Linked DNA regions of Coturnix japonica. The protein of the gene in region 1 interacts with the protein of each later gene in a biochemical or structural test. Links are inferred from orthologs where the notes say so. Each region holds a gene or a part of one and is shown on either strand. Other genes may lie near its edges.

Region 1 (5,998 bases):
AACATCTATTCCATAACCCAGCACTATGGAGAGTTAAACAGGCACCTTTGCAGGTAATTAATCTCCTTGCCCTGCTTATTTTGCTAGTTGGCACTTGCTTAAATCCCTGTAAAACCACACCCAGCAGTGCTGTGTATTATCCCTCTGCTGTCTGTTCCTACATATGGTCAAAATCAACTTACCTTCCGGGTTGCTGACATCAGCAAAATGTGCTCTTGGCAAACTACAGTATCCTCCTAGTAACCCTTTGTTTGGTTGGTGTTGTTACAAGAGTATTCCTCTGACAGCAGCAAACAGCATCTAAACAGCACCGGCCTCCATGCTTGGATTACGATGTAGGATTCTGCCACAGTATCACATTTTACACATCAGGACAACCCTTCGTGTCATTAACTCCATACAATTTGGGCAGGGAAAAAAAAAGTCAGAAGAAAGCTAAGTTCTGTGCTTCCTATGAGGAACTGATCTTTGGATGCACATCAGTTGGAAGTTTCAGAGTATCGCTATGCTGACATTAGTGGTCTGCTCTTGTCATTCTGTGATGTGACCTTACACATGGCAGTCACTGCAGAGAAACTTCTACCTTTTTGCCCTTAAAATATGGATCAGGACTGTCTACAAACGTACTGATGTTATTGCACTCTAGTTAGTCTGTAATAGTTTCTGCTCCTTGCTGTTTGGCCATCGGCATCAAACAGAACATCTGCTCTCTCCTCATATACACAGTTATTGAAGAGAATGAATTGGGTGCCACATGTTGAGAAGGGTGCTATCAGAATCATATCAAAATCATTCCCCCCACCAGCTGAGCAGCATGTCTCTAAAGTAGATGTTTACATTGCTGTGCTAAGAAACAAGATTACATTAAAAAGACACGGGAAGTGCCAGGAGAGTTGCTCTCATGTCTTTTCACTTCCTGCTACGTTGTTTTCCCAGTTTTCCTATTGCTAAAGAGTTCAGAACCTGCAGTAACAGCCAAAAGGATTTCAGAGATAAAAAGTTTTTTTCCACTGACAACAGCATTTTCAGATATTAACAAGGATCACCTTTCACTGCAGAAAGACTGCATAGGAACGAAGGTGAATATTTCTACTTTTGAAGTCTAGAGCACTTTTGTTGCAAAGGAAAGCAAACAGCCCCTTGCCTGATCCTGCTCGAGGGCATTGGCTTAATAAAAAGCATGCAAGAGCACAAGCAGCCAGATACAAGTGCAAAGCAGTTTCACACACCGGCTTTCTACCATCTCTAGAGCCTGCCTAAAGCCAAAGTCAGCCGCCCCAGCAGGGCCACTACAACACACAATAACCTCCCAGGTTAAGGTTAGGAACTGGAACTCCCAGACAACTCAAAAAGTTCTGTTTGCTCAGTGCTCAGGATCTGGTTCCCCCCGTCTCCTCCTCACACGTTCTCCAGGACATGCCTGCACTTACAGAGCGAGTTTCACATAATCCCTGCCCTTTAGAGTCCAGCATTAAGGGCATTTTCCTAACTCACATACTAGCAATAATAATAATAATAATAATAATGAAAAAGGTGTGAGGAGGAAATGCATTTTAAGTATTTTATTTTTTTTTAAATATAATAGAACCTTCTAGATTTTTTCCAGAAACAGAAACATTAAAAAAATTATACTTTATTACAAATGGTAAACTCAGAGTGCTAAAAAAAAGCCTCTTATTTACAAACAATACTGGGCAGTACCCAAATAAACAACATAAAAATAACTTACAAAGTCATGAAGTAGTTTATTGACATTAATCAACTTTCATAAAATAAAATAAAAAAGGATATGTACATACACCATTTACTTGAAGGCAGGAACAACAGTTCTTGGTTGTTTATCAGCCTCCCACAAACCTCCCTCCCGCTTTTTGTTTGTTTGTTTGTTTCTTAAGGAATACTACATGAAGCAATCTACAGTTTCTATTGCAGTTTAACCTTTAATACTGAATGATCATCGAATGTTAGGTCCATGCAGGTCTTGGTCAATGTTAAACGAAGATCTGTCGCCTCATGGGAGCAGGATCAGCACCTCGGAGCGGTGCCGGCTGCTTCACCAACTCGAGCTGAAGGCTGCCCAGTCTTTGCACACATGTGCTTTGCAGCACGCAGGCAGGACTCACAGCCTCCCAGCTTCTACCGTGAGCTTTACGCGTCCGCCGCTTTTGGTTTGTCGTTTAGTTATACCACAACATCACAGTTCCTATTGAAGTCAGTCTCTTCAAAACGTTTGCAACTGTTGTGTTAGCATTAGCTGGCACCCGCTGTTGACATGGTTCATGACCTTCTGCTTAAGCTGTGCAACCTGTTCTCTGAGCATGTTGGCAGTGGATGCCAGCTCTGAGTTCTGGGCTTTCAAAGTTTTCACTTTTTCTTCCAACCTGGCAATCCTTTCCAACTTCCTTTTCCGGCATTTGGACGCCGCGATTCTGTTTCTCATGCGTTTTCTCTCGGCTTTGATTCTCTCCTGCGACTCCATGTCAATAGGGGACAGGGGAGGGGTTTCCCCCGGCATTTCAGGTACAGTCTGAGGCTCTTCTTTCAGAGCCTGAAGCCTGGGATGCTGCACTGGCATCTGGGGGTTTATGTGATGCTGCGGCGCGTAGCCCATGCCGTTGGCATTGTAGTTGGGTGCGGAATTGAGCGCGTTGGGGTTGAAGTTGCTGAGGTTGGCGTACACCGGGGGCTCGCTGTGCAAACTCGTGTTGAAGCTGCCGCCGCCGGCCATGGAGGACACAGGTGCCATGCCACCGCTAACAGGTTGCGCGGCCGAGGTGACGCTGGGCAGCGTGTTCTGGTTGTGCAGTTCCGCCAGCGCTCTCACGAAGCCTTCGGCAAACCCCTCTTGTTCGTCGGTAACGTTCTTGGGGCACAGGAACTGCGTCGGGGTCGGCGTGGTGGTGATTAACCCGTTGCTGGACTGGATGATGAGCCGCTCCAGCTCCGGGGAGGCCAATTTCAGCAGCCCCACGTCGGGGGAGGTGAGGATGTCGGCGTTCTTGTTCCGCAGGTGCGGCTTCAGGCTGCTGGCCGGGTCGGACAGGTTCAGCGTCATGCTCTGCTTCAGCACCTTGGCGTTATTATATCCATAACCGCCGCTCTCCGGCGGCGCGAAGCTGGCGTTCAGTGCATCCTCGTAGAAAGTAGGCTCCATCTTTGCACTCATAGAACAGAGCCCAAAAAGTGGCGCCGGGAGCCGCCCCACACCGCTCCCGGCCAAGCGGCTTGGGGGGAAAGAGCAAGCCGGAGCCTTCCTTACTTCTCGCCGGGACAACGCCGCTCCTCCCGGCGCGGGCCGGGCCCGCCGGGCCTACGCTGTGCGCTGTGCGCTGTACGCTGTACTCTGTACTCTGTGCGCTGTGCTGCTCCCCGGGCCGCCTCTCCGCGCTGTGCCGGGCCGGGCCGCTCCTGCCGCCGTTGCCGCTTGTACCTCCCGGCTCCGCGCTCCGCTCGGCCGTGCCCGCTGTGGCGGCTGATTCTCGCTGCCGCCCGCCCCGCTCTGAGCCCGCTCGCTCCGTGCAGCCCTTCACTTATCAGCGACCGGGAGCCCGCTAAAAATAGCCCATGATGTCACCCCGCGCGCTCCCCATTGGCTGCCGCCGCCCGTCCCGGGGGAGGCGTGGCGCTGGCCCGGCGCGGTGCATGGCAGCCGGTCGCCATGGACACCCCGCCCCTAGAAGCTTCTCAGCGCCGGCGCGGGGCCTTGTGGGATGAGGTAATGCTGCCGGCGGCGCGGGGCATTGTGGGCTGACGTCTTGTTTTTGAATATCTGGTTACCGCGGCCCGAGCTCCGAGCGGGGTTGGGCGGCTCGACGGCCTCGTACCAACCAACCGCTGCCCTACCGGGTACCGGGGCACCGCGATGCCGCCCCGAGCCGCCCCGCGCCCTCAGCCCGTGCGTTGTGCTGCGCTCGGGGCCGAGATGCTGCGTGCGGCGGGGCCGGGCCGCGCTCCTCCGTTCCACGTCGCGTTGAGTCCCGCCGCATCGCCGCCTCCTCCCCCCCCCCGGTCCCGTTGTTGGTACGGCCCTGAAGGTGGCGCTCCGGGGGAGCCCTCACGTGATTTCCCCGCCTCGCTGCCCCCGCCGCTTCCAGGCAGGGCCGGGGCGGGCGCGCACAGCGCCGGGGCCGCCCCCGCCCCGCACGGGGGCACAGCGCAGGGCGGGCGGCGCTGGGGTGGGGGCGGCTCGGCCTCGTCTCCTCCCGTCCCGGGGAGCCCCGGCGGGCGGGGACGGGCGGCCCGGCTGCCCTCAGCCCCGCCTGCCTTCAGCCGCTGCGGTGAGCGCTGTGTCTGTTCCCAGGGCCGGGAGCTCCCCAAAGTATGAGAGGGGAAAAAGCTGCCGGGAAGGAGCCTGGCTCTGGATGGGTTTTCCTAAAGTTGTCCTCCCGGTTGTAGAGCTGTGCTGGTATTAGTGTGTGAGCGCAGCTTGGCCAAGGGGAACGGCTGGAGATGGAGGGATCCGGTCGGGGAGGGAGGTTTGTGCTGCTCCACAGCTACCGGGGACTCGCAGCTCGGCTGATGGACGGGACGGGAACCCGGGGCAACAAGTGCTGCCGCTGCTGCTTCGCTGCTGGGCTCCATCGCTTTGTGTGACATACGAAGCTGACAAACTTAAGTCTCGGTTTGAAAATGCACTTTAAAACTCTTAAGTGCTATTTTTTTTCTTCTAGATGTAATAACATAATTAGCACTTAAAGTACGGGAGGGAGCAATGTAATAAACAGAATCAAAAAGAGCTGTGAATTAAAAGTGAATGTCTGGATGCACTGACTGATAGAAGTTACTGCTCCTTTTATAGAGTCATCTCCCGGTCCTCCCTGCTGTGCACACCTGGCTGCACTCAGTGTATCCACTTCACCCATGTGCTGGAATCACACAGCCAATACCTGTGCATGTTTGTGCTAACAGTCAAGTGAATTAGTTTGCCCACAAATGTGGGCCTTAGTGTTTGCTGCAGGTGTGTGCACAGCCTTCAGGTAGGCAATGAGCACCTGTGTGCAGGTAATTCCAGCTGCCTCTGTAGCTCCAGCAGCAGTTACTGCATGTGTATAGGAAAGCCTCTGAAAGTCGTCTGTGTTAGAAGCAGCTTCCTAGCTCCATCCTAAGCTTTACACACAAGATAAATAGAGGCCACAGCCCGACTCCTGGCACAGGAGTTGAGGTACACTGAGCAAAACTGGCAGATGGAGGGCTCAGAATGAATGAGGGAAATTGCTTTGCAGAGCTGTTTGCCGTGGAACACCTTGGCAAGAGGGTGCTGTGCAGAAGGAAGGATTTAAAAGTGATTAGATGAAGTCACAGGAGAGAAATCTCTCAAGGGCTGTTGAGTGCAGCCGATCTCTGGCTCTGGAAATCCTAAAGCTGCAAATGACTTGTCTGGGGGAGCATCCCAGGGCAAAACCTCTGCGTGTGTGCCCTGCTTCTATGTGCCTCAGGTATCCAGCCTTGGCGACTACGGGGTGTCTGCTTGGGGCCGTCCTGGTGTTCTTGCTGTGCCCGCACTCCCACTTAGTCTGTAAATGATCCGGCTGTGTTGTGTCAGCACGCCATTTTGAGACGTGTAAAGGGCTTGTCTATGCAAAGAAGAAATTCTGGAGAAAGGGAAGACATGAATTTGAAGCGTTTTGCTGGAGGTTTTTATTTTAAAATGGTTTTTAAACCTAAAGGTTTTTATACGTGTGGTTTTTGTTGCGTAGGAAGCCGTTACAAGACTTTTCCTTTAGTCAGTTTTCTGTATAAACAAATAACCCTGACAAAGGTTGTTCCAATTAACTGTTGACATATTTAATTTGTCGGAGTGTCGTCCATCTGTTTTATCCTAGAAAGCCACATTCAGTCTGTATATCAGGTCGGTGTAGCTTTAACCCCTCGGCCTGGTCAGCAGCCCCTTACAGCCCGTCCACATCACCCCACCTGGGTGGATGCAGGATTTTCATTGCCCTCAGTGAATGTTGGATTAGGCTGGAGATATTCATTCCAAGTCATTTCATTTCTTTGT
Region 2 (6,108 bases), on another chromosome or scaffold:
GTTCCCCCTTCTGGAGCAGGGGCTGCAGGGAACAGGCAGTTGCTACATCTCTGTCAGCATTACAGCGGGCACCTGGTCGTGACCACTAAAACTAACGTTGCTAACACGTTTCCACAATAACTTCATGCTCGGCGCTTTCCAGCCAATTATCTTTTGGGAAGACACATTTTCCACATTTGGCCTCTGTTTGAGAGGGATTTTTTATTTTTTTTTTTCTTCTAGGCTTGAGAAAAACGATGCCAGCTGTTTCTGAACACGGCATGTATTATAACATTATGCCTCTGAAGTAGCGTCAGCTCCTCAGAGCGCGCCCAGCTGAAATGACAAGCCCTGTGAAGAGCAAAGCCTTTGCCTGGCGTTATTTCTGACTCTGATTTACCTAGATTAAGAAATAACCGTGTTTTGAAAGAACTCGGCTTGATTTATCGCTAGGTGAGCGCCTGAGCCTCCAGCAGGAGCAGCTGCCAGGTGGGTCAGGGCTGGCTCCTGTGCCAGCAGAGTGCACCGAACCATTGGGGAGCACCAGCAGCCGCACCTTGTGCAGGAGGAGAGCCAGCAGCACCGACCTGCCTGCTTTTCTTTTTTCCCCCCCAAGGCAGGCAATTAAATTTGAAATAGGAACGCTGTGTTTGCAGAGCTGAGCGTGCTAGCACGGTGACATTTCAAAAGCTGAGAGTACGCTTCCCATCTGGGTGGTCAGCGTGTGAGTTGATGTATGCACACATACACCCGTGTGGACACAGCGCACAGAGGTGAGGTACGGACGGGCTCAGACTAATGTTAGAAATCCGTGTCCTCGGTTAAATGCTCTAAGCTATCGATATGTGCCAGCTTTTCCCACTCGAGACGTGTTACCCGTTACCAAATGCAGCCCCGTGAACGCTGCAAAATGAATTAACTGCCTGAAGGGCTGATCGGGGTCTGTGCTGTAAGTGAATAAACGAGTCTCCAAGCTCTTCCCGTTCTTAGCAGGGAGACCCAAAGAGAACAAGTCTGTATGAACCGAGGATGGAGTATTATCGTATTGGATAACTCTGTGCAAATCTCTGCGAGCCTCGCGCTCTCGGATAGGTGCTTTTTTGATACGTCTATTTTCTAGCGTTTTTGGAAGGCAATTGCTGTCACTTACCGAACCAGGAAGCTGTGGGAACAAAAAAGAACAAAACAAAACCCCTTCACCACCGCCACTAACACGTTCCCCTGCCTCCTACGGGGAGTCTCCGGTTATCCCCGAAACCAGAACGACATCGCGTGCTGCGCCGTTTGAAGGGGAGAAGTTATTTATTTATTTTCAGCGTTCTGGAATTTAATTAAACGGCTCCTTCCCCGTTTCCTCGGGCTAAGAACTGAAGCCCCCCGCCCCGATACGGGGAAGCGTTTCGGGCCGTCAGCTGGAGCGGCACGGAGCGAGCGCGGGGTGGTTCGGCTTTTTTCGGGAGGGGGCGTTCAACAGTTTGGGGGCGAAAAGGGCTCCCGTTTTCTAGTCCTTTCGAAAGCCGCGCTGCCTTCACTTAGTTTGACCGTCTCCGAGCCGTGAGAAGGACTCTGATTTATGATAAAGCAGCACGGCTAAGTCCCGCACGCCTGAGAAGTCGGGACGCCCCCTGAAGTCTGTTAAAAAGAAGAAGAAAAAAAAAAAAACAAAAAAGGGAAGGGGAAAAGAAAGCGCCGTGGGAGGACGGCCCCGTGCCGGGTGCCGGGTGCCGGGCGCTGCCGTCCCGCGGGTCGCTGCCGGCACGGGGCGCTCCGCCGCTTGGGGGAGGGGGTCCCGCGGGGTCCCGGCGGCCCGGCCCGGCTCGGTGAGCTCCTGTTATGGAGAGCGAGGCCGCGCCGCCCCGCCCTCCGTGCAATGGGAAAGCCTTGCATCACCGCCTCGGGCCCCGCTGCCCCCCCGCCCGGCCGCCCGCCCTCCGGGAGCTATTAATAGCATGACATCAGCCCGGGACTCGCCGCCAGAGTAAATACCAGCTCTACCCGCTCGGCTATATAAGGGGGGTGATGCAACCGCGGCGAGAGGCAGAGGCGCGGGGAGCGCGAGCGGGCGCTGCTCTCCCGCCGGCGGAGCGGGCACGGGAGGAAGAGCGGGCGCGGCGGGGCCGGCGAACAGCCCCGGCCGGCGGCGGATCCAAGGTAGGAACCGCGGGACGGCTCCGGGGAGAGGGACGAGCCGGCAAAGCGGAGGAGCCCGCTCCCGGGGTGCGGCGGGAGCGGAGTCCCGAGCGGCTGCCCCGGGCCGGCCGTGCCGCTCGGCGCCTCGCGGGGGCGGGCAGCGCGGGGCTCGGCGCCGGGGGGATGCCGGCCGTGACCGCCCGCGCTGCCGCTCCGACCGCCGCTCCGACCGCCAACGGGGCGCCGAGGAGCGGCTGCGGGGCGCCGGGCAGCCCGCACCACCGGGAGGAAAAGCGGTAGGGACTCGCGCGGTTCTTTCTCTGTGCCGATGTCCGACACGGAGACCGGCTGCTGAAGTCTCGCCTAAGCGAGGCAGGCGTGGCTCGATAGAAAAGTTGTTAGAGAGAAGTAGCTTCCCGTTCGAAATGGGTTCTTCTGGCTTTTGAGCGGGTGGATGCCGGCGGAAAGTGGTTCGGGAGTGATGTGGGATGTCAGAAAGCTTAAGGTCAACCGGCGTGCACGGAGGTTGTGAACTGTAATTGCCCTTAATGCTGTTTAAGATTAACCTCAATGGTTATCGGCGTTTGTTGCATCAGCACCAGAGGAGAAGGAATTCATGAGAAGAAGCAAAACCGAGAGGTCAGCCGTCAGCAGCCGAGCGGAAAGACTCCGAGAAGTCGTTCGGGAATACGCATAACTAACAGAAGTGCACGGCTAGGAATCGTGTGCCGAAGCGAAAACATCGGCAGAGGAGATGGGTAGATTTGGTGAGGATGAAAAGAGCCGCTGAGAAAAGAACAAACAAAGCATAGTGACGGGAGCAGACTTGATTGAATCTACCTGAAGCCGAAGGTACCAGCAATAGCAGAAATGTTCCCCGGGGAATTGCCAAACTAAGAATAAAGTAAAGAAGCGTGAGCTCGCAGCGGGAGCAAGCTGTGCCTTTATGGGTCAGGTCTGTGAAATGTTCGACACCTTCAGTTCCAGTAACTTCAGAAGTCCTCAAAATAGACCGGAGCTGCCATCCATGTGCACGGTCTAATGAAGTAAACAGATAGGATCAGGAAGCCCAGATGTAACTGCAATTTGAGGCTAGATATCCCTATTGCTGTGCAGACCTAGGGAAGAGCGGCATGACACTCTTGAAAGCTGACAGACAGAGGAACAATTTGTGCAGAAGTTGGGAGAAGAAAGGGCAAACTGCTGCGGTTTATGTTTATTAGGAAAATCTAATCTCCATCCTCATAACGCATTTCTAAAAGTAGATCTGTTCCTCAGAAACTGGAAAACATCTACCTTTTGTTATGGAAAGCCAATCTGTTTGGCTTACTATTGGCTTCAGCACAGGCTAATTATTTTTGACATCCCTGTCACTCCCGACCACCAAAGCCGTGCACTGGAAGGAATCCTGCCATGCCATGTACCGGCCCCAGCCCCGCTGGAGAGTCAGCGTGGGGCAAGGAGCCCTGCCAGCTGTGGTGGGCTGGGGACAGGACCCCTCCAGCCTGCCTGGCCTCTGGCAGGGCCCCCGCTCCAAAGTATGGGTAAAGGGAGACGCTGTCAGGGTGCCTGGGAGGTCAACGATTCGTGCAGACAAGGGCACTGCTCTTTCTGGGCTTCCCTTCCCAGTGACAGCCTCCCTTCCATGTTTTTATAAACTGAAAGTGGATCAATAGATACCTGAGGACATTACAGTAGGGTTGCACTGGGGGTCGTGGTGCACTTAGCTCTTGTAGGAATAGCACTGCCTGGTAGATAAGAGCAACTCTCAGGCACGTTACTAAAACACGGGCATTCTTCGTTTCCTCTGGCGCTGACTTTAATTAAAGTTGACCTAAACTGAAATATAAACGAATAACCTCCCCCCCCTCCACCCTCCCACCATGCTGAGAAATGCTTGGCCCAATTAATTATTCCATGTGCTGGAGAAATGGTTTTATTGTTAATTGAAATCTCCTGGTTTGATTGAGTTATATGGAATTAAGTGTTTTGAATGAAGGCAGCAGCAGGAGAGGAGCAGACCGACGGTCAGGGAGCACAGCTCCAAATTGTGTGAACAGTGGGGGCTCAGTGTCACGGAGTCTGGCTGCTTCAGTGAGCTGAACGGCTGAGTGTTGGGAAGTGCTAAATAATGCCAGCAGTTCAGCTGGAAATCACAGGGCCTTTCTGACTCGGGGGGAAAAAAGTAACTGGTGGCTTTCTGAGATTATAGTATTAAAATGTATCGGCACTTTAAATGTGACTCATGAGCAGGGGCTTTCTGAAGAGAATTACATAAATTTCCCAAGGTCTTTCTGAATAACAAATTGTTCCTAATTATTTCCTCATATTTAACAACCAAGGGTGAAATCCTGGCCCCACTGAGGTCAACAGCAAAACTCCTTTTGATTTCAGTGGTTTCAGCGTTTCACCCCTGGGATGTGGGAAATCTTTGGCTCTTTTGTGGTCATTGAGACTCAAAGTGAGGAAACCTCTGCAGCTGGACAAGTGGTTTTCTACCTGCTGGCAGTTCACTGCCCTTGGATTTTTGTGTTTACCTCGCTTAGTGAGGAGCTGGGTTCTACTCCAATTTGCACCGATGTGGATTTACAGTATATTTTTAGATATCTCTGAGCGAAATCTATCTTCTTGTCAAGGCACGTGACCCCAACCACTTCTTGCCATGTCACAGCAGTAGCAAACAGGGAACTGCACAATTGGGGTTGTCCACGTGGAAATTTAACTTACCCACACTGCTGTCCCAAGGCAACTATTTGCTTACCTGCACTACGTTAATTACAACGACTTTGCTATCATTACAACTTTAAACAGGAATAGATTACGTGTCGTGTCATTACCAAGGGAATCCAAGACAACAAACATCTCAAAAACCTCCACAATAAGGAAAGCAGGAAAAGCAATACAGCAAAATCCAATGCACAAAAGTTGCTTTATGATTAGAGGAGGTAATACAATCTATTTTCCCATGGATTTGCACCTCTTGTCCTGTGGGCTGGCCACACAAAATGCTCAGCTTTCTTCCAGACCTCTTCTCTCGCCTCTGCTGAGGGATGGGTGGTTCATACTGGGTTGCCCATGGTGTTTGGCTGGCTGACTGCTGAGTTTTGTGCGTTTCTCCCTTAGTGGGGTTACCACTTTTCACTAAGCTGTACACATGTAGGGCACCTCTTCCAAAATTGGCTAAAAGACTGAGGGTGGCTAAAAAGGGGAAAGCAGAGACCACTGCTAGATCAGTTTCTTTTTGTTGGAAAACTGCTAGAAATGAAGTTCCTCCGTGGGTGCCCCATTAACCAAAGTCTCAGCCAAAGTCTCTTTGATTACACAGCTTTATATCCGCAGGAGATCTGGCCATAAACACTGAAGAATTAAAAACTTGTTGTTGAGGGCACGTGAGGACAGTTTTGGATTTTACGAGCGAAAAGGGAGGAATTGGCATTACGTTTTTCATTACTCCTTCCCTCTATCCCAGTTTGTGCCTCAAAGCTCCAGAGCATGAGTAGATTTCCACCTTTCCAACAGCTCTGATTGTGAACTGCTTTTCAGGAGTTTATTACGAGACACATTTTTCTGTCTGCTTGTAAAGCTGAATGTGGTGAGCATTCTGTAGCTGATCCTGTCTTGGTTAGCAAAATTCAGCTTCTCTAAAACTTTAATCTTTACTGAAGTGTAGTTGAGATGAAGCTGTGCTTCGTCCATTTCAAGCTGTGATTTTGTGGTGGGGTAGCTGTGAAGATGGAGATACTTCTGGGTATTAAATAATAATAATAATTCTTTGGTTACTGTTTTTTGTTATTGTTTTAAAACGCTGCCTTGAGGTGAGCCTGATGTGAAAGTTTTTACTAGTGATCAAATTCTGAACTGTTTCTCGTGAGGTATGAAGTGAATGTGGGCTGAAGCAATGCAATAAATATATTATTTCACAGTATGAAATCGACCTCTAGTAGATGTTATCTGCCTCTGTACAGCTGCTGAAAGGCTATTCCTGTCTCTTTTTGCTTT
Region 3 (6,210 bases), on another chromosome or scaffold:
TTACTAACTTTTGCTCTAACACCAGGATTATTATTGTTTCTTACTTCTCTTTTTAATTCACAAAACTGAAAACTACCAACGTGCTGAAAGAACAACGGATCTGCTTCTCCTTGTGCTAAAAGCGAACCTAAACGCACACGTCTTGCAAGTTACTGTGGCTGAGAAGCCTTAACTGATCTTAGCATCAGAGCACACCCTCCCAGCCTGCCCTACCAGGCGTTAAAACACGTTGTCTTAAATCTCACTGCAGCTGGGGAGAATAAAAGAGGGTGCAGAGCAGCCAACAAAGCAGCCAACAAAGGAAAGTCACTCCACCCCATTCAGTTACACACCTGTCCCTCCGCTCCTAACCTTAAAAGGGTACAACTGCATCACCTAACTGTGACTGATTGTCCTTGTGCTCTGAAGTTAGGATCTATGTTGCCAAAGTGCACCAGCACAGGGCAGACACTACAGAAACATCAGGTTACACTACATCAGGATGACCCAAGTGCTTCAGCAACATGGGCACGTGTGAGAGCAAGGGGTGACAGCAGTGACATAGCGGCACCACAAGCAGAGCAGCCCGCTTTCCTGCTTTGCAGCAGGCAGTTGGGGTTTGGCTTTGTTGTTTCCCTTTGATCGAGTCACCCACACTGCACACTGCTTACAAACTGCTTTCATGCCTCACTGAGCATTGTTCAAACCAAACCTTCCAACGCGGTGCCACACGTTGATACCCAAAGCAGCACCCACTATGGTTGAAGTCTCCTACATGCAGGAGGCTGCTTCACAGCCCAATACATCTCTCACTGTCAGCAGGTTTCCCTGATGGTTGAGCCATATTTTTCTTCTGTTGAGCTTCCTCTAATAAGAGCCTAAATAGCTCCTCTCCTCCCTTTGGATGCCATTAGAGAGCTTTAATGACCACTCAGGAGCTTGCAGCTGAACTGAGTTCAATGACAGCATCCGTTGTGTCAGGTAACTTGGCCAAAATTGAGGAAATCACTGCAGATTTACACCAAGATAATCGAGATCTGCAGCTTGCTGCAAACTGTTAATAAATAGAGGGGAATCAGAGCCATTTGGTAAAATCCTTAATGACTTAACAGCTTGATTCATCTCATTGTTTGCTCTTATTATTCCTGTCTCATGGTGAAAACGTGTGGGGGAAGCAGAGCTTGTTTTGGGGCTTAATCAAGTACCAGCCAAAGCTATTAGACTCTTCAGTCATTTCAAAACTTAATTAACATTTTAATTTCATTTCAACATCCATCCCTGCTCTTTTACGGGAGAATTTTTAAGAAAGTAATTACTAAACTTAGTTTAAAAAGGGAAAAAACTGATTTGTCCTTAAGATAAACGCATACCCTTGTAGAAATTAGGAAGGAATTAAAATAGGTATTAGATGGAGATGAGCTGTATCTACTGGGTATATGAAGACCCTTCAAAAGGCTGCCTTGCAGCATTTAAGTGCTTTGTTGTTTTAAGTCTGGGGAAATGGAAGCTGAGTGAGACCACACTGATTTCCCTGCAGCAGAGAAGACAGAAGCTCCCATCTCTCCCATGTTAGCACCCTGCACAGCCGCAATATGACTGGGACAGCATCTGGACAGCTTTCTGCAGCCCTAGAAACCAGCAAGATTCACTTTCCATGAGGTTGGATGGGGAGCCAGGAGCGGCAATAGCAACCCTATCAAAGTGTTCCTAACTACAAGTGTGGGAACAAAGACTTGAAAAATGCAGAGGACACATTCGTCCTCCATGGGCTGCGGCGCGGGCAGCTCCTGCCCCAGAGTTGCTTAGTGATACCGTTTTATTTTTCATCAAGCAATAATTTATCATCTTTGAGGGGGTGGAGAAAATAGCTCATGGAAATGACTTTGTTCCACAAGGTTTTAACCCTTGGAACCCTGGTACTTTCCAGGCTGTTTGCCAATTCAATTCTCAAGGGAAAAAGTGTTTGTTGATCTCTTGGCATGCTAAAAACCCATTCAATTCATCAGACCTTGGCACCAGCTTAAAATAAAAGGAGCATCCCTAATGCGGGGATACGAGCGGTAGGAAGGATTGCATTTATCTCACTGCCAACTATGCACTAAATATGCTTCCTAACAGATCGGCCACCTCCTACATTCATTATGATTTTGAAACTTTGCAGCCTTCTCAAAGGTAACTGAAGGGAAGCCAGGCAGGGAGGTAAATAGCACAGACATGGGAGATAGAGAAATGCACTGAGTGCCCTTCTGCATCCTCAGTGAATACTCAAAGAGATTAAATGCACTGCCTGAGCTCACACAGGCAAAGGGAGAGTGAGAGGCTGAGTACCTGAGCCCTAAGGCACTGCTGTGTCGCCATGCAGTGGCTGCAATGGGATGAACGTGGCATCACCAAACCCACTGGTCATGCTGGGGAGGGTTTAGGTGGGATGCTGAAGCAGAGAGGCTGCTGCCGACAGTCACACTGCTCCCTCTTAGATCAGAGCTGCTATTTGCAACAGCAGGAAGATGTGAATGGGTGGGGGGGGTTAATTAGGTCATCTGTTATTCCACTCACGTATTTCCCTCTGTGAAATAATAGACCTACAGTGCAGCGTCATGGGCCAGATCCTCAGCTAGGGCAAAGCATAGGAGGAAAGGGTAGGGATTGTAGGCCCAGCTGTATTTGGTGTCTTGCTCCAGACTCCCCATATGACCTATGGAAGGATGCAAGGGACCAGCCTGCCCAAATCTGCTGGTGTTTTGAAAATCCCACTAAGCATTAAGTACTCAGCAGCTGTAGAAAGTTAAGAGAAACCAGAGATTCTCTGTGCCTTCACGTGCTAAGCATAAAAAGGTGATGATAGCACTGGGCTGCTTTCTGGTTTGGAGATGCACATGGCACCCTGCAGCTCAGGGCAGGGGCCATGAACAATCCCAGTGCTGGGTGCACAAAATACACAGCAGACATCCATGGAAATCACACCCCTTGGGTGAGTGGGGCCATTCCCTGATGCAATCATCTTGGTAGCCTTAAATATCTGGCTTACCAGAAAATTGTTTACAGGACAGGCAGGGGTGAGATCAAAACCCCAGCTGGATTAGAGGCAGCACGAACAGGCTGTAACCAGGAAACCACCCCGGACCCAGCCCACAGCCCCCAAAGGTGTCAGTTGACAGCACAGGATGGGAAGTTGATGGTAACTGTAATAGCAGGAGAGTGACCGCATGCAAAATGGGGATTTAGAGGATAATGGGAAGGGGGAAGGCCTTGGCTGCACTGCTTGGGGCCACACGGTGCCCACTGCCCCTATTTGGCTGTGAGAGGGGTGCAGGATTTTGCCCATCCCAAGCAGCAGCAGCAGCAGAGCTGCACATTGCTGTGGCTGCCGCACTCAAGGCTCCTGACTCCAATTCCTCCCATAGGCAAACATACGCAAAATGCTCACCTGTGGCATTTTCTGCCCTTTGGGGATGCCATTGCCATGGAAAACATGCGGAGGTGAGGCAACAAACCTCGCATAGCATCCCTCCAAAGACAGAAAGCAGTCCTGTCTGGGGGGGCAGGTCAACCTGCCCTCTCCCTGTCTGTGCACCCAGATGTGCTGGAGGAGCCGGGGGAACATCTGGGCCTGGGCACCTCTCTGGTCCCTTGCCCCATAGCGAGCACAAGCAAAGCCCCACCCCACAACCAAAGCTGCCTCTCAAGAAATAGAAGGAACTGCAAATGTAACCCGCTGTAAGAATGCCAGGGCGCAGCCTGCTACCTAGAAGAGGCTCCTAAGCACACATATCGACTTGATATACTCCATATATGAAATTAAAAAGGACTTATAAAGGGAAGCATCAGCTCAGACACTCGTAAGGCACTGCAGAACTATCAGCAAACACACGAATCAGCCACTGGGTGAAACTGGGAATGGAGAGAAAGAGTAAATCCCCAGCAAAACAAACCTTCTATCTATCATAGAAAGGAACACAGGTACCTACAGCCCACAACAGCCTTTAAAGCGACTCTCTCCCCACCACCACTTACTACTTATCTGGAAGACCAAGGAAAAAGCTTATGTCCTCCACGGCTCCCCACACTTGTCTCCGGTCTCTCTCCAACTACCTGGTGCTATCCTCTGCGCCGGAGCTGGGGAGGATGGAAATACCATAGTGTTTGCAGCAGGGCCGCCTATTCAAAGAGAGGGGGAGTGGTCAGCCCTGCACGGGCGGTGGGGAGGCGAGCCCCCTGCGCTCCGCTCTCGCTGGCAGATGTCACGCTGTGACCCTCACCACGGGGTGTGAGCTTTATCGAGCTCATTCCCAAAGCTCCTCTGGGCTGCCCCAGCTTTGAGGTGACTGCTGCCCAAAATTGCTATTTCTTCCTCAAAAGTCCCCTGGGCACCTCAGGGTTTCCTGCTCCTTTGCGCACAGCAAACACCGCAGTGCTTTTGGATGCCACCCTCTCCCCCAGGCATGGGCAGGATCCAGCTGCCAGGCTCCCACTGCCCATTTGCAGACCCCTCGGTGCACGCCTGCTTTCTTTTTACAATCACAAAGGCTGCATTAGTCTCCCTTTCTGTAGGGTACCATAGTGGGGAGAGCACTCAGGCAGCTCTGACTCAGCCCTTGCTGCTGGAGGCCCCACTAGGGCACCATGGGCTGCTTTGCCCCAGAGGGCAGGGCTGCTTGGTGGCTGCAGTGTGCAGGGCTGCTAGAAGAGCAGGGGAACGCTTTCCCTGAGCATGGAAAGAGATGGGGACAGAAACAAAGGCCAGAGCACATAAAGTCTTAAAATGTGAGGTTAAATTCCTTTCTGTCCTAACAGCTCTGGATCCCACAGCCCTGCATTACCCAGTACCGAATGCAGGAGGATGTGCCCATGTTGCAAAGCTGCCTTTTCCTCCAGGAGAGGGCTCCAGGCTGGAAATGCTCTGCACTCCAGCACATGTCCTTGCCACGCAGGAGCTGTCAGCTTGCTGGAAGGTTTGCAGCATCTCCACAATAAAGCAAAAATGCAGTGTGCGTATCTAAGTGCTATGGCTGGAAGGGGGGGGAGAAGCATTGCTCATCCCAGGGAAAGAAAGAACTCTCCCAGTTCATAACCTGGCATTTTGGTTACTCGCAGCTGAGTGGCTATTTGAAAAGCATAGACTGAAACTGTACGATATCAGACACGTAATTCCTGCCTGCACAGGCTTCTGTGGCATCTAATGCTGCCAAATGCCCCACAGTGAAATCAAATGTGCAGAGCTGTGGTGCATGAAGGACCCTCCTGCCCCTCACCTCCCAGCCCAGCAGAACCTGGTCTCTCAAACGCACATAGTGACAAATAGCCCTCCAAAATTCCCCCACAAACACTGATATTGAGGCACATAAAAGGTATGAAACAGTCCTTTGAGGACTTTCACTATCTCCTAAAAGAAGAATGGAGCTCTGTGTCAGCCCTTGCCTTCACTCACTTGCCTTGCCTGCACAGAGCTGCAGGTGCCATGAGTACACGTTACCTGTTGAACTCGCAGCCATAAGGCACGGATCTCTTGTGTAGCTATTTTAACTCAGGAAATTATTTACAGGGCTCCATCTTCTCAGGAAGGTTTCCAGCCTGCTGGGCTTTGGTACAAAGACTCGGTCACGTCTGAGCGCCAAAGGAGTGGAATGCATCCAGCAATCAATTTTTATCTGGGCAACTCTTCCCAAGGCTGCAGGATAACCCTGCGGGCATCTGTGAGCAAGATGTCTTTCTTTCCCTAAGCTGGATGATGTGCTCTGCAGCAGAGAGCTTTTCCAATACAGTAATCTATGTATTAATAGCCTCTGCGTTATGGCTGTCCAGTCGACTGTGTGTCTGCAAAATGGAGAGGCTTCTGGTTTGAGCTCTGCTGTGTGCAGGTCACCTCTCTTGGTAAAGGTACTGCTTGCACACGGTCGCCTGGTTTGGGGGTTACTACTGCTTCAGCCACCCGAATCCATTGCTTCAGCCAGCAGCAAGAAGTTGGGTTAAATTTAGGGCAGCTCATTCAGCTGATAAAGCCATAGTGCATAAAGAAGTAGTTTCCATTCCAGATGGTTTGGATTTTCTTTGTACTCATAAAAAAAAAAAAAAAGAAAGAAAGAAAAAGATTCATTAGTGTCTAATTAGAGCAGTTATTACTGCTTTTACCGAATCTGAAATGTCCCGTGGATGGTTCAAAGGCTGAGCACAGGTTGAATTTAGGGCACACAAATGACCTCTGGGCTCCTGGGAGGTGCTGGATGTTCATGT
Region 4 (6,213 bases), on another chromosome or scaffold:
TATCCAAACATTACTTTTCCCCTAAAATCAAAACAAAAGCTAGTTCCCCACACGAACTACTGCAGGCAGGTATTTTAGAAACTATTTAGTCCCTCACAACCCTGTAGCAAGAAACAAAGCTCATCGATTTTGATAATACTGGACACCCTGGCACCCCTATCAGGAACACATTCATATTTTGTTACGCATTTAGAGCTTTTTATGTTTAAATAAAATGTTTATTACTCACCAAACAATGCCCTGTGCCCCCGATCCTATGGGCTTCAATTGCTGGTAACGTTTTAGTACAGTGAATGTTGAATCTGCAACTTGAACACTGTAAAACTGACTATCGCATTTACTGTCACTCATGGTGTAGTGTCATGTAGTTTTCTCTCTCAAGGACCTGGTACAGGCTTCAAGATCTTAAAGAAAAAAGAAAACAAATGTACAATTTGAGTAATTCCAGGCAGACAAGATGGAAGATAGATTATGCATATTTTAACACATATGAATTTTTTAATAGCATACTATTAGATAAGCATTATTTCAGCTTCACTTACAACTACTGCTAATGAAAAACCCCTGCAGATGAGACAACAAATAACCACACCTTTCCCAGCTGTAAGCAAACATCTCATTCCAAGCCCCAACACAAAAAGCAGCTAAGTAAACAATTGTGAAAGCAAACAACACCCTCAGGCAACAACTCTCTCCTCCTCGTAGGAGACTCCAGCACTCAGCCAACTTCCGTAACCCTGAGTTACTGCTATCACCACCGCACTCCTTCCTCCCGTCTTTAATACACATTGACATCCATGCCATCAGTTAGTGTACTTCAAGTCCTACAAGAATTAAGGGAGTTGGTACTACAGCTTGAAAGACCCAGCCACACTGTAACAGTTAGTTTTATCCCAAATGCATTACGATGATTGAGGACTGCTTTGTTTGAATGTTAACAATCCCCTTTAATGAAGGCAAAAACAAACAGCAGGCAAAAAGCAATTCCATTCAGGAAGTTACACTGCAGTTTGCCTCTCATCTGCCTTGCTCTCAAAGCTGCAACTGGACTTTCTGAGAGTCCAGAGGGCAGCAAGGAGCAAGGGGAAAGGACATCTCGTTAACTGGGTTACTTATGAGAAACAGACTAGAGGAGGAAGTGCACAAAAGACCAAAGAAAGGAGGAATGAAATAATGTATGAACACAATGGATGTGGTGATGAGCACAAAGATTCTGGTTAGACATTTTAGAAGATATGAAGGAAAGGGAAGAAGGAGAAACAAAGCCTGCTTTGCAAAGGTAGAAGAGGTGTGGTGCTCGACAAGATTCCCTAAGGAAGTTATGGGCTCTCCCTCTCTAGATGTTGGTGCTACACTAAAATCTGTCTGTAATTAATTAGATGTAGGTAATTACACCTGAGACTGAGGTAGTGGACACACATAATTTCACATGCAACATAATAGGTAATGCCATTACAGCCCAGACTAAACTACAAAGCCAAGAGTTCCCCGAAACAGGAAATGAAAGCAGATCACCTCCCCTATAAGCAGCTGGCCTAACCACCCAGCTGTGCTACATCACTTGTAGCTAAAGAGAGAGCAGTTATTCTCTCCCTCTTCACCAGTCTACAGAACAGTGGAGAGCCCATGCAAAGCAGAAGAGCCTCGACAGCAACTCAGAAGCACATCCTGGAAGGGCACAGGGCTACATGAGCAGCTTCTAGCAGCTTCAGGAATTAGAATATGGGCCTCTCTCAAGTAAATACTCAATCTGGTCATCTCTAGCTGCTATTAGACAGTAAGGAATGAACCCACTCTTCCTGTCTTTTATCATTCCAGAGCTATAGACACTGATGCACCACAGTTTTTGATTAACAACCCCCGATCAGCCCTGGTATTTTCTGTATATCTCCAAATGCTGGAACACAGACACAGCTGGAAAGACAAGACTAAGGAAAAGGCCAAGATTCTCTCTCTGAAAAGGGCTTAAAGAGGGGGAAAACAGTGCAGATGTGGATTACTCTGGAAATCAAATTAGGCCTGTTAGTTATGTGGGATCTATGCTGGTACTCCTTTATGGGTTAATGAAGATCATTGAAAGAAAGAAGCAGAGGGAAAAGGAAGTGATCCTGATCCAAAGAAACCTCACTGTAAGAAATCTCATCTGTACAAAGTCATCACTTGGAAAAACAGTTTAAAGACCAGGATAAGCTCTTTAGATAAGACCCAAAGAGGGATTTGTGAATCACAACACACAAGCTCTATGTATTCTGACATCCTCTGGAGCTCACTGTGCTGAGCACCAAGCCCCTCTCTGAGCCCTATGCTATGGGCTGCACGCTGCTTGGTTAGGACTCAGGTTACTTCAGATATACAAACTAATGCAAAACTAAATGCCACGAGACTGTAAGTATTGACATAATTTAAGTCTCAGTGTCTATTTGGGGGCTAAACCCACTGAATAAGGTTGCCCATCAACAGGGAAAAGTACATCTGACAAGTAAGTTTATTAAACCCCAACTGTTACACTGCTACCCGAGACCATCTGATTCATTGCTCCCCTTAGCAGGTACATAATGCATCCCACACATCTCCCATGCAGGAATCCTTTGAGAAGTTGGCATTACTTCCATGTAGGAAATGCACATTTTCATTCATGGCTTCCGAGCTGCAGCAGACAGGAGCAGTGCCAGACATGGGAGTCATTCATTCATGGGACAGTCAGCAAACATACTTCTGCATATTGATAAGGGCACTCAATTACGGTGCTTCAAGATAATTTTCCTATTTTTGAGCACGCATGAGAGGCAGATAAATTGGGTGCAGGTTTCTGTGTCTGTTTTAATAATGGGCTCATACAACCAGAAAAACTAAAAAGCACAAAGCTGATTTTACTCTATGCATAGAGATCACAAGCGCTTACAAAAGTGGTGTTCAGCCTCAGTTCATGCAGAGTAAAACAATCAAAAAGAGGAAAACAGACACACCAAACCTACCCCCAATGAATGTATCAGCTGTCATACAGAACTGCAGCAAGGAAGTATTTAGGGGTTGGAAGCAACCGCACTACAGTGTATGTACACACTGCACCAGTCACCTCTGCAAAAGGCACCTATTAAAATGGCAACTTATTATTAACCAGATCCATTCCCTGGATATTTTCCACGTCAAAAGCTTCTGAAGCAAACAGGTTGGAACAGCTAGGAACATTCCCTGCGCTGTTTTGGATACAGAAATGTTATCACGATGAACATCAAGAAACTGAACTTCAGGCTAAACTGCACTGGAGACAGAAAGAACCCACGGAGCACACACACACACACGGAGTATGAAAAGATAGGGAAACCACACTGAATATTCACCTTTACAAACGTACTCTGCAAATTAACCAATACTGGCTTTATCCGCTCAGTTCTCTGAGAAGCACCTCTGTCTTTAACCGGCCGAAGCTATTAGTGAGCAGATCACACCGACAGCCACCAGCCCCGCTGTCATTTAGCTGCTAAACAAACGCCGAAAGCAAATACTGGCTGCACCTCGGCCGGGAGACGGAGGGGAAAAGTTCAAACGTGTGTGTGCCGTGCAATTATTGCGCTGTGAAATCACGGAGCAGCCGTAGAGCCCAGCGAGCTCACGGGATTCCTTCACTCGTGCGGTTTCCGTCGCGGAGCAGCACAGCGCGGCCCCCGCCCCGCCAGCACCGAGCGCTGCCAGGGCCGGCACGGGGCGCTGAGGGCAGGGGCAGCGATGCGGCACGGGAAGGGCGAGGGGCACTGCACGGCCGACAAGAAGGAAGGGGCCCCCAGCTCGGCCCCTCCGCCTCCTTCCCCGCTCCGCAGGGCCGGGCCCGGGTCAGCGACACGCGGGGAAGCCCGGCCCAACCCCGGCTGCGCCTCGGCGGGCGGGGCCCGCGGGAAGAGCCAGGGAGTCCTCTCGGCACAGGGCCGGGGGGCTCGGCTCAGATCGGGGAGCTCCGGCTCCGGCCCCGCCGCCCGCACCGCCCTCCTCGCGGCCTCCCTCACCGTCTCTCTCCCGGTCAGGCTCCAGCGGGACGGGGCGCGGCGCTCGCGAGCCGCGCAGCCACCTCCGCCGCCGCCTGCAGCTCCTCCGGCGCGCAGGGCCGCCACAGCCACAATGGCCTCCCGGTGCTCCGCGCAGGCCGCGCCAGGCCTCAGCGCGCTGACGGACAGCAACTCTGACCAATCGCGAGCCCATACCGCGATGCTCAGCCAATGGCAGGCTGGAGGCGGGACAGAGCTGGCGCTATATAAGGCAGGGCAGCGGGGAAGGACCGCAGTGGGAGCGGGCAGGCTCAACCAATCCAGGCGCGGTCTCGGCCCTCCGGCGTGATGTCATCACCACACGTCAGCTTGTCACCGCGCTTCTGACGTCACCACAGGGCAGCGGTGGCACCAAAGTGGGACTGTAGGTGGGACTGTCTCTCCAGCACAGCAAAACAGGAGCATTTATTCAAATACACCCATAGTGCTCTTTACCAAACATACGTGCCACACGTGTGTTTTCTTATATGGTGATGTTCAGTTCTTGACATAACACAACAGCCCTCCTCCTTCTGGTGTCAGAGCATTGGTGCATACAAATGACTAAGGGGAAGGAAAAGAAAAGCCCCAAGACAAGAAGAATCTGTATAATATTTTCTTTAATTGCATATTAATTACATTGTACACACTTCAATCATAAGCACCTTTTGGAAGGTACCCTTATTTTGGCAGTTCCCTTATTTAATTGCCCTGTACAAAGCAGGCAATGAGATACAAAACGCTGCTGGGCCTTCTCATGGTGTTACAGCTGAAAGCAGGAGGAGGAGCTAAAACACAGCTGAGAATTGACAGCCACAGGAACTCTTTGCAAAAGGTGGTGAAATACAAACCAGGTGTAAACCATAGGAGAGGGGGGTAGGAAGATGGGAGGAAGAGAAGAACCTATTTCCAGTTTGAGGATGTAGTAGAAAAACCCCTATAAAACTGTACACAAACTTGCCATGAGCGCTGAGCATGTCAGCTCATTATTACCAATGCTATCGATAAGCAACATACTAAAAAAATAACTTAAGAAAAGCTATACAGTTGTACTTATAAATACTTTATCTTTAAAACTAGTTAAGTAGTGTAGGCTAAAAAAAAAACGTTCACAGTTACTCTGAAGAGAGCTGTATATATATATATATTGCACAGTAGAAAAGTTCATTCAGTATATCATGTGTAAACAATGATTTTTATCTTATCCTTTGGCAATTTTGGGACTTAGAAACATTTGCTGTGAGCAAAAGCACTTGGGTAACAAGGCACATTGGAAGCTTTTAAAGCTGCAAGGTAAATCCTTCTGACACCTGCCAGTTATCACTCTCATTCCCTTTGAAAAACGTGTACCTATTGATTCAGAACAACACATTTCCACAAGCATAACAGAGTCTGGTAACAAAAATATCCACTGTTCTTGGCTGTTATTCTACAGTAACCGATTTGGCCAGATTCCTTGGAAAATCCACCTAGAATGAAAAGACAGGCTTTCAGTGCGTGACAGAACACAACTGGCATTCTTGCTTTTGTGCTGTTTTGGTTTGGTGTTTTTTGCTTATTTAGAAAAGGATTGCTACTGAGTTCTGCTTTATTCTGGACTCGCTAATGCACACAAAAGAGTACGGATCTGTACATAACTCACTGTTGAATGCATCCTTACTTGCAAAAACCTCCCAACAAATCTGAATATATTGTTTTGCATAGGATGCCTTTCCAATGGGGTCATCATTACCAAACTGACACACCTAGACAGAGTCAACAAACTAAGCCATAAAAAGTAATAAACTGTCCTCTGTTAGAGTGCAATGTCACACTTCAATGCTTAGCTTCCGGAATAATATTATCTGCATTCTTCACAAATCAAACTAAGCAAACAATCTTTACATTTTTTAGAACCACCTTCCACACCAATTCAAGAAAAGGCTGAAGAATTGGCAGTGAAATGCCACCTCTACTACTACACTAAGTACCAGTCGCAGCAATTATTCTAGTTCTTTGTTAGAAATGCCGTATAACCTTATATCTGCCTTAACATTGGTAGGAGGAAGTGCAAAACTGCTCTAACTGGAATGCTATACATAGAAAGCACTTACATCATATCCTCTGAGAACAGCCAGGTGGAATGAAAGCAACTGGAGAGGAATAACACTCAAGATTCCTTGAAGGCAATCAACCGTATGAGGCAGCTCAATGG

The links. The genes of interacting proteins can lie anywhere in the genome.
Region 2: the proteins of JUN (region 1) and ATF3 form a complex in vitro, tested with the Homo sapiens proteins (2 studies listed by BioGRID and IntAct, with this or other methods). The link is inferred for Coturnix japonica from reciprocal best matches to the Homo sapiens genes JUN and ATF3.
Region 3: the proteins of JUN (region 1) and ETS1 form a complex in vitro, tested with the Homo sapiens proteins (2 studies listed by BioGRID). The link is inferred for Coturnix japonica from reciprocal best matches to the Homo sapiens genes JUN and ETS1.
Region 4: of the proteins of JUN (region 1) and MAPK9, one has a biochemical effect on the other in vitro, tested with the Homo sapiens proteins (17 studies listed by BioGRID and IntAct, with this or other methods). The link is inferred for Coturnix japonica from reciprocal best matches to the Homo sapiens genes JUN and MAPK9.

Annotation. Positions count from the first base shown.
Region 1 is NC_029523.1:23,598,091-23,604,088, forward strand, and holds JUN (transcription factor AP-1), read right to left. Parts: upstream 3,691-5,998; 5' UTR 3,167-3,690; coding exon 2,222-3,166; 3' UTR 1,597-2,221; downstream 1-1,596. UniProt on the Homo sapiens protein: Transcription factor that recognizes and binds to the AP-1 consensus motif 5'-TGA[GC]TCA-3'.
Region 2 is NC_029518.1:19,270,861-19,276,968, reverse strand, and holds the start of ATF3 (cyclic AMP-dependent transcription factor ATF-3), read left to right. Parts: upstream 1-1,993; 5' UTR 1,994-2,130; intron 2,131-2,460; exon of another isoform or gene 2,461-2,705; 5' UTR 2,706-3,064; intron 3,065-6,108.
Region 3 is NC_029539.1:785,837-792,046, forward strand, and holds the start of ETS1 (protein C-ets-1), read right to left. Parts: upstream 4,116-6,210; 5' UTR 3,994-4,115; intron 1-3,993. UniProt on the Homo sapiens protein: Transcription factor. Directly controls the expression of cytokine and chemokine genes in a wide variety of different cellular contexts. May control the differentiation, survival and proliferation of lymphoid cells.
Region 4 is NC_029528.1:4,156,638-4,162,850, forward strand, and holds the start of MAPK9 (mitogen-activated protein kinase 9), read right to left. Parts: upstream 4,116-6,213; 5' UTR 4,002-4,115; intron 3,767-4,001; exon of another isoform or gene 3,342-3,766; intron 405-3,341; 5' UTR 352-404; coding exon 230-351; intron 1-229. Other genes in the region: GFPT2 (glutamine--fructose-6-phosphate aminotransferase [isomerizing] 2), read right to left, coding at 5,444-5,488, 6,113-6,213. UniProt on the Homo sapiens protein: Serine/threonine-protein kinase involved in various processes such as cell proliferation, differentiation, migration, transformation and programmed cell death.